2 linked regions of the Xenopus tropicalis genome follow. The protein of the gene in region 1 purifies or fractionates together with the protein of each later gene. This does not show direct contact. Links are inferred from orthologs where the notes say so. Each region holds a gene or a part of one and is shown in the gene's direction. Other genes may lie near its edges. The genes, in order: mettl9 and slc39a10.

Evidence for each region.
Region 2: the proteins of mettl9 (region 1) and slc39a10 purify together in Homo sapiens (co-immunoprecipitation; 3 studies listed by BioGRID and IntAct, with this or other methods). This does not show direct contact. The link is inferred for Xenopus tropicalis from reciprocal best matches to the Homo sapiens genes METTL9 and SLC39A10.

Annotation. Positions count from the first base shown.
Region 1 is NC_030685.2:25,156,646-25,161,231, forward strand, and holds the start of mettl9 (methyltransferase-like protein 9 precursor), read left to right. Parts: upstream 1-1,723; 5' UTR 1,724-1,821; coding exon 1,822-1,980; intron 1,981-2,643; coding exon 2,644-2,834; intron 2,835-3,493; coding exon 3,494-3,703; intron 3,704-4,530; coding exon 4,531-4,586. UniProt on the Homo sapiens protein: Protein-histidine N-methyltransferase that specifically catalyzes 1-methylhistidine (pros-methylhistidine) methylation of target proteins.
Region 2 is NC_030685.2:52,802,837-52,806,657, reverse strand, and holds part of slc39a10 (zinc transporter ZIP10), read left to right. Parts: intron 1-801; coding exon 802-971; intron 972-1,859; coding exon 1,860-2,060; intron 2,061-3,410; coding exon 3,411-3,534; intron 3,535-3,821. UniProt on the Homo sapiens protein: Zinc-influx transporter. When associated with SLC39A6, the heterodimer formed by SLC39A10 and SLC39A6 mediates cellular zinc uptake to trigger cells to undergo epithelial-to-mesenchymal transition (EMT).

The DNA of each region.
Region 1 (4,586 bases):
CTTTTCACAATGACTAGTGTGCCTCTATACAGCTTTGTGCTGATATAGTGAAACATGACATTAAAGGAGAAGGAAAGGTAAAAACTAAGTAAGCTTTATCAGAAAGCCATAAGCACTCACAGAAAAGTCCTCTGTCAAAAGAAACACAGGATTTCTTGTCTTCCCTTGTGTAAACATGTTTATTATGTTATTTTTGCACTTTACTATATTCCATATTTGCTTTAATCCAGGTCCATTCAAGTACTCATAGCTACATCAATATAAAGACAATAATGCAACTTAATATTGTTTCTCATTGACTGGGAATGTGGTGTTGAAAATGATACTTTAGAATGGTAAATAGTTCCACCTGTTAAGCACTACTATAGTTGTCTAGGATATTATCTATAGCTATGTTCAAACGTTGTGTCTTGGATATTATTTCTGTATCTTGATTTTTTTTTTATATGATTTTTGGTGTTAGTATAAAGGTCTTTGTCAGTTAGCAATGCGTATTTGTGTTTTTCTTTATATGTATTTTTATCTGCTCCTAACTTCCAAACTGTCCCACTTGAGTCATACATTTCTTGGTTCCTCATGAGAGACCCAGGGCTAGTTAAAGGCTTGTCAATGATTTGTTAACTAAGGCTGTTTTTCCTGCAAATTGGGGAAAGTCTTGTAGACCAGTGCAGGTCTGGACTGCGATTTAAAATAGGCCCTGGCATTTCAGTACAGAAAGGCCCAAACAGCCCTCCCAACAGCCCAATACATGACTATGGCATCTTTCAGCAGCCCCTCTGGAATTTGCCAGAACCCACAGATTGCCAGTATGGGCCTAGACCAGCGGGTTCTCACCTGTCAGTGTCATTTTGACACAAGTTTCTCCAGATCAATTGAAATTCTATTTTTATAGAGAAATGAAAATATTAAGAGTAAATATTGTAGTGTGAGATCCAGTGCCATTTCTGCCATAAAGTAATGGGAAAGCCTTACCCTTTCTAACTTTCAAATGGGGGGGGTTTCCACTGACCCAGCACCTAATAAAAACCACTGCTCTGTGAGGCTGTAATTTTATTGTTTGTTACTTTTTATTAATTATCTTTCTACTGAGACCCTCTCCTATTCATCATCCAGCCACTCATCCGACGTGTCCTGATATGTTGTGCAAGTATTGGGCCAAGCCCACAGGGCCAGGGGTTTCAGGCCGGCCTGCACATCACTATGATAGGTTACAAGCCTGGCCAGTAAAAGTCATGCTTTATGTCAATGTTGTTAATAGGGAAAAAAATAATAGAAAGACTGTAGTTTTTCCCTTGAAATAGTTGGCAACCCTCCATCTACCTCAGGTGGATTCACATAAATCTGGCCAGTCATACTTACTCACTGACAGACCCACTATAGCTCAATGATAACTGGACATGTACATCCAGCAATATGTCATTTTTACCTACAGTTTTCCCCACTGCCCAGAGGCAGAGCACATGCCCTTCCATTCTTAAAAACTGTCCCTTCACACATCCTCAGCCTAATCATATAGTCTATAAACCAATGAGAAGCTGAATACGCGGTTATGCAGTTTCTCGTTGGATCCCAGGACCGTGCATGATAGAGAAGAAAAGGCCGTGCTAGAGCGGCTGATCTGAGCTCTCGCTTGTGCACTGTGAGCAGCAAAGGAATGAGGTCCGGGCGGAAACACTGTTTCCTCTGCACAGGTTCCGCTCCTTTCTTTATTTTTCCATTCTCTCCACCCCTCTCTTGTATTCCACTCCTCAGGCTGATGTGTACATCCCGCTGGGCCATGGCCTGCTCCGGTCCCGGACGAAGTGAGTGGGCGCTGCTCAGATGAAACTGTTCGTGTGCTGGATAATTAGCTACCTGCTCTGCCTGGCCGGGCTGAGGAAGATGTGGAGTGGCCGGTACCTGAGGAGTCACCTCAGCAGATCCCTGTACATGAATATGATGAGCCACAGCCAGGCCCCGTACTGGGATGGGAATCAGCAGGTGTGTAATGTCACTCTGGTGGGGGGCAGGAAAGTAGTGACACACCTAGTACACTAATCAGCCCCCCCCCCCCCAACCCCTCAGGTGTCCAGTCATTAGCACCCCCATCTTCTGTCTAGTTCAGAGATCAGCAACCTATGGCAGTGTTTCCCAAACTGTGGGGCCTGGAACAGTGGCAGGGGGGCTCAGCATGCTGGCAAGTTAGGTCAAGATTTGAGGAGCACACTGATTTGCTTGCCTAGATACAAATGAAAGCCCAGATGTAAAGGTCTGTTAAAGTGAGATACGGTGCCCTACATTTGTCAGAACTGAGCTTTGTAATCTAGAAATATCTAAAAGCCTGATGTAGATTTGCCATCTCTCAACTCGCACTGCTTGTTTGGGCACAACTTGCGTGGGATTTTGAAACTGAAAAGATTAGGAGTGGTAGAATGGCAAGGTGCATAAGAACAACCAGATAGTACACTGAAATAAGGGGGGGTGGTGAATTCATTGTAGCAGCTTTTAAAGGGCACGTAAATTCAAAATTAAAATTTTGCCTAGTAGACAAAAACTCTTATCCTAAATCTGAAGTTCTGTATAATGCCCCTTTCAGTTTGCTTAGTTGCTACAATAGGTTTATTGTTTTAGATTTGGACATTAACGTTTGTGCCTCCTTTGCAGTGGTACTTTTGCGACACAGAAAAATTAAGTGATTGCCTTCGGCCGGTTTTCATCCAGAGTTACTTAGACCATGGAACCCAGACATTCCTGAACAGAAGTATTGAGAAATCTGGCTGGCTTTCCATTCAGCTCTACCATTCCTTCATGTCCTCTGTGTTCAGTATGTTTATGTCCAGAACATCAATCAATGGGTAAGTTCTTTACTTCTTGTATATGAAGAAGTGCTGTCATGTATATGCATTTCTGTTCACTCACCCATTGTAACATTAAAATAAATAACCCAAAGGATAGTATCTTATCTTTAATGCCATAATTTACTATATTAGAATTGCACCATTATATTATATTATATAACTGTTACCACTAGTTTGCAATGTAATGTTTATGTGTATAATGTTACTCAAAATAACAAAAATAAACAGAACTGAGCATAAGCTACCATATACCGTATCCATATAATTTTACTGACATTGGTAATAAACACTGTCTCTTGGAAGCTCAGACTTAGGTAGAGTTATTGAAAATGGGATAAAAATGTAGTTGGCTACGAATAATAAATAAGTTAAATAACTTATGAGTGGTGTAATCTGAGGCCCAACAAAGTTTCAGTGTACCCAACTGTCAGGCCCACATGTCAAAGGCAACAGGCTGATCAATCAGATCTGTCAGGGAGTAAAGAGTGTCTGCAGCTCTTTCTTCTTTATCTACCACCAATAAAGTGAAATTTTCAGGTTGAACAGATACATTTTTTGAAACTGAATAGTTGCTATACATGCCCTGATGGTCAGGCAGTATGGTCAAAATTGGTCAAACCTGGGTACATACAGCTAGCCTTTTCCTCTCTTTGCAGGTTGCTTGGAAGAGGGTCAATGTTTGTGTTTTCACCAGAACAGTTCCAAAGGCTTCTCAAAATTGACCCCGAGTGGAAATCACATCGCTTGTTGGATTTAGGTGCAGGGGATGGGGAAGTGACTAAAGTAATGAGCCCTCATTTTGAAGAGATCTATGTTACAGAAATGTCTCAGACTATGATATGGCAACTTCAAAAGAAAAAGTACAGGTCAGTTATATAAACAAATTCTGTATCAGGTGTGTATGGAACACTTAGAGATCACTGGTTGTTTGCTGTTGTTCCTCGATAAGTGTATAGTTTAAAGAGAAACATCTCCTTTTTACTAGTTTACCTTAAAATGCGTATCCATCATCCGAAGGAACCAATTATCTGGGTATAACTGATACCTGGAGCTTCAGACTATGACTTAAGCAGCGCTGGATGTTGGGCTTTTCTTTGCTTAAATTCAGGAAGTTGGGCAGGAACTTAGCTACCAGTTCTGATTATTATGGTTGCAGAAGAAAGTTTGGGAGTTTTTACTGCTGAAAACGTTAATCTCTTAAGGAAAAAAATATTTTCTTTTTTCCAGAGCACTGGTTCCTGGGCATTGTATGGATACCATGGAAAGCCATGGAAAGCTGTTAGGATCCCTAAACAAAAATTTACTTCAGCCAGCTAAGCTTAGACAGTCTGCTTAGGTGCAATAAATTAATAATTTGATGTCCCTTATATGGTAGTAAGCAGCTACTGTGAATATTAGATGTAAAAGCAGTATGATAATATGAGAGGGAGCTGCCAAAATACTGATAGAGATGTATTATTATTATTTGGCACCATGCTTTAAGTCTTAAGATACAATAATATGATCTGCCTCAACCCCCTCAGCTAAGGGAATAAGTATGTGAGTTTCTTTTTATTCTTCATGATACTTATTCTGGGACATATAGATATTATAAGCATGTTTTACACAGTAATGCCTGTTATGCCTGAGATATAGATGGTAAAACTGTAACCTGTTTGTCCCTGACATAAATGAATTCTTTTCTCATATCTAGAGTGCTTAATATTGATGAATGGCAAAGCACAGGATTCCAGTATGACGTTATTAGCT
Region 2 (3,821 bases), about 28 Mb from region 1:
GAATATAGTACCGCCAATACATAGTGTCTTGGCGGGATTACACTACATAGGGAAAGTATCTCCTTCCTGTAGGGAGTGGATGAACAACTCCTGGTCGACATTTAAAGGGGTACTGTCAGGGGGAAAACATTTTTTTCAAAATGCATCTGTTAATAGCACTCGAGCAAACAGTTTTTTTTATATTTAAATGTGATGTTGGGCTAGCCATGTTCTTAGTTTCCCAGGTAAGTTTCCCTGATAAATTCCACTGGGAGTTGGAGCGATATTCCCCCCCCCCCTGCTCCCTGACACCTGTTTTGCTAAAAATGCTCCCATTCCTCACCTAGTGGTAGATGTTCTATAAGCACTTAATTGTAAAAATCCAAGTCCAGCTCAACCAATTTATGACTCCTTTAGTTAACCTATTGTTTCTGCTACTCAATTTATCTGAAAGCAGTTCTAATGTGTAGCACTGGCTCCTTCTGAAAGCTCAGAATCAGTCACAATGCACTGAGATTGCCCCTACGCACCAATATTACAGCTAAAAAATATATATTTTTGTTCAAGAATAACAGTAGAATTAAACATTAGAATGAATTAATTGTAATGTACCAAGTGTCAATTAGTTAGAAAAACTATACTATAAGTTTTGTGCGCAGATTCTCCCCCTCCCTTTGGGAATACAATAGGATTCAAATTTGGTTTGGTGTTAGGCCAGTTCTTTTCATGCAAGATTTTGGTGTTTGTCAGAATCCTGAAAAAATGGATCTATATTTGTGACCGTTATACACATTTATTTACATTGCTTTTATTTCTTTACAGCCTGGATTTGCGGCCTGATCTCAATCACTGTCATAAGCTTGCTCTCATTACTTGGTGTTATCTTGATTCCGATCATTAACCAAGGCTGCTTCAAGTATCTTCTCAACTTCCTGGTTGCTTTAGCTGTTGGAACGCTCAGTGGGGATGCACTGCTTCATCTGCTACCTCATGTAAGTATTGCACTTTTTTTTTTTATCACAAATGTCTAACATGTGACCCATATGCTTTCTAAGATGTATATCTAAAGCCCCTCAGTAAATGTGATTGTTTATTGTATATGACTGACTTGTGATTAGCAATGCTATTTAAAATGCATCTCCTACTTACCTTCTGGCTGCCACCACTACAAAACTAAACCCGTTAAAGAATGTAAATCCCAAAGAATTCTGACTAATCAAAGAAAGTATAATAATTCCAATTTTTAAACATTTTAATAATTATTTATAACAGCTTTAATTTGTAAATGTATTTCACATAGAGCACTGCAGATCTCTCCACTCTCTATCTTTAGGCTCGGTAGCCAGAGGTACCCCTTTTCCCAAACCTTAGGTTCTGTCTTGGAGGTAAAGAGAGGTCTGCAGGGGTGCATTTAGAGTATAGTCAAATGCCAGATGCTCCTCCAGGCAATGTTGCCAGTATTTTTTCTTAAATGGGCAGTGGTAGTATATCTCTCTTGTGCGGCATAGTGCAATGAATATAGCTAATATGGTAATGAACTTGCTGTTTGCTTATTGTTCTAACAAAGAAACTATAGGTTTTTTTTTTTTTTAATCTCTAAACTAAACAGGGCAAGCAGGAACCTAGACCTAAGGATCAGACTCCATGTTTGGTTTTTGCGAGGAAAATAATTACCAGTGCACAGGTAACCCACCTGCAAAATGGGTGCCTGCTATTCATGGTATATGGACGGACTAGATTGCTTCTATCTAGTTTGCACACTCTGCATACCCTTACATGTTCATTCCCTGTGTATTCATTCTTGTCACAGTAATCTACTGTTCTAAGAGAATAATACTTTTGTCTTATGTGGTTTTTTTTTTGGTTTTTTTATATATCAGTCACAAGGGGGCCATGATCATGGTACAGAAGCCCCTAATCACAGTCACGAGCACAATCATGAATCTCTGCACAGTGAGGATCAGTCTTTTCTCAGCGAGTATGACGGTGTTATGAAGGGTCTTGTTGCTTTGGGTGGAATTTATCTCCTGTTTATTGTGGAGAACTGCCTGTGGATGTTTAAACATTACAAGGAAAGAATGGTATGTACAAAATATTTATTTAATAGTTATAGTATTTGTTATATTGCACTCTGAGTACCAGTATCACTGATGATGCTGAGACACTTTGCAGTTGGTCTTCATTGCTTGTTGTTCAGCAGCTCTCTGATGGAGAGTTTCAGCTGCTTGAATTACAGACTATAGGATGAATGGTAGAGGGCCTGAATAGAAGGATAAGTAATAAAGTAACAGTAGCCTCACAGAGCAAGTTTTTTGTTGCCCAAGTCAGCCCCCCCTCATTTCAAAGCTGGAAAGAGGCAAAAGGCAGCAAATAATTAAACTATAGGACATAAAAAATGAAGACAAATTTTATTAAACTTTTTATTTCTAAATTACACTGTTTACTTAGCAAATAATTCATTCTACCATTTAAAATTTTATTCTTGAACCAACAAATGTTTTTTATTTTAGTTGTAATATTGGTGTGTAGGCACAATCTCAGTGCATTGTGCCTGAGTCTGAGCTTTCAGAAGGAGCCAGCACTACACATTAGAACTGCTTTCAGGTAACCTACTACCATGTAACTGGAGTAGTCCCAAGCCGGACTAGGATTTCTTACTATTGAGTGTTATTCTGATATCTACTAGGAGCTGCTATCTTGCTCCCTTCCCATTGTTCTGCTGATCAGCTGCTGGGAGGGGGTTGATATCACTCCAACTTGCAGCGCAGCAGTAAAGTGTGACTGAAGTTTATCAGAGCACAAGTCACATGGCTGTGGCACCCTGGGAAATGAAGAATGAAACTGAAAAAATTAAACAGAAGAAATACTGTCACATAAACTTTTTTTTTTTTCCCCAAAATACATCAGTTAATAGTTGCATAGCAGGAATAAATGAAATAAGGAAATTATGCACTAGTTTTAAATTTACACTTCAGATAGTGGTTGTTGGACATTCACCATGTGACTATATCGTACTTACGTGCCACTGTGAGTTTATAAAAGTTAAACTGTGACACATATATTTTACAATAAAACATTTGAAATAACAAACCTGTTTTGTTGAAACATGAATTTATTACTTTTCATTTCTTGCTCATGTAGATATTTTGTCATTCCCTCTTCTCTCCTGTAGCCGTCTGCAATAAATGTATTTGTTAATGAAATATTTGTTTTGCAAACAGATGCTTAATAGCAGAATGATTTAAGTGTGTATAATTGCAGCACAACTCTTGGCCATTAGCGTCAGTTTCACAGCTTGCCCAGTACAGTCTGATGATAACTTCCCCTTGCGTTGGCCCTTAGCAAGTGGTTCCTATGTGCTAATTAAGTACACAGTGGCATCTCATTTGGATTCAAATTAAATGGGGAATTGGCAATTTTCTTTTGTGTAGGGGAAGCGGAAGTGGCTAAAGAGAAAACAGAAATTGGATGAGGCTGCAGTTGGCAGAAAATTATCTGATCACAGCTCAAATCGGAGGTCTGATGCAGAATGGCTTCAACTTAAGCCTTTAGAAGGTAAGATGATCCAGTGCTTTCTGAATGGTGACCCATTTTAAATATCATGGCGCCCACATTACCTGACTGTTGCTAAATGGGCATTTTTATTTTTTTTTTTTGGTAATGTTATTGGGATCATAGATTGTAAGCACCTGTGGAAGCGGCACTGATGTGAATGATGTATCATCTCTGTAAAGCACTGCAGAATAAGTTGACACTATATAAATGATAGCTAATAGTAATTTCTTTATGCCATCCCTCTCTCTGTAGCTTTTGTTCAACATAAGTGTCATGTATTGAGCATG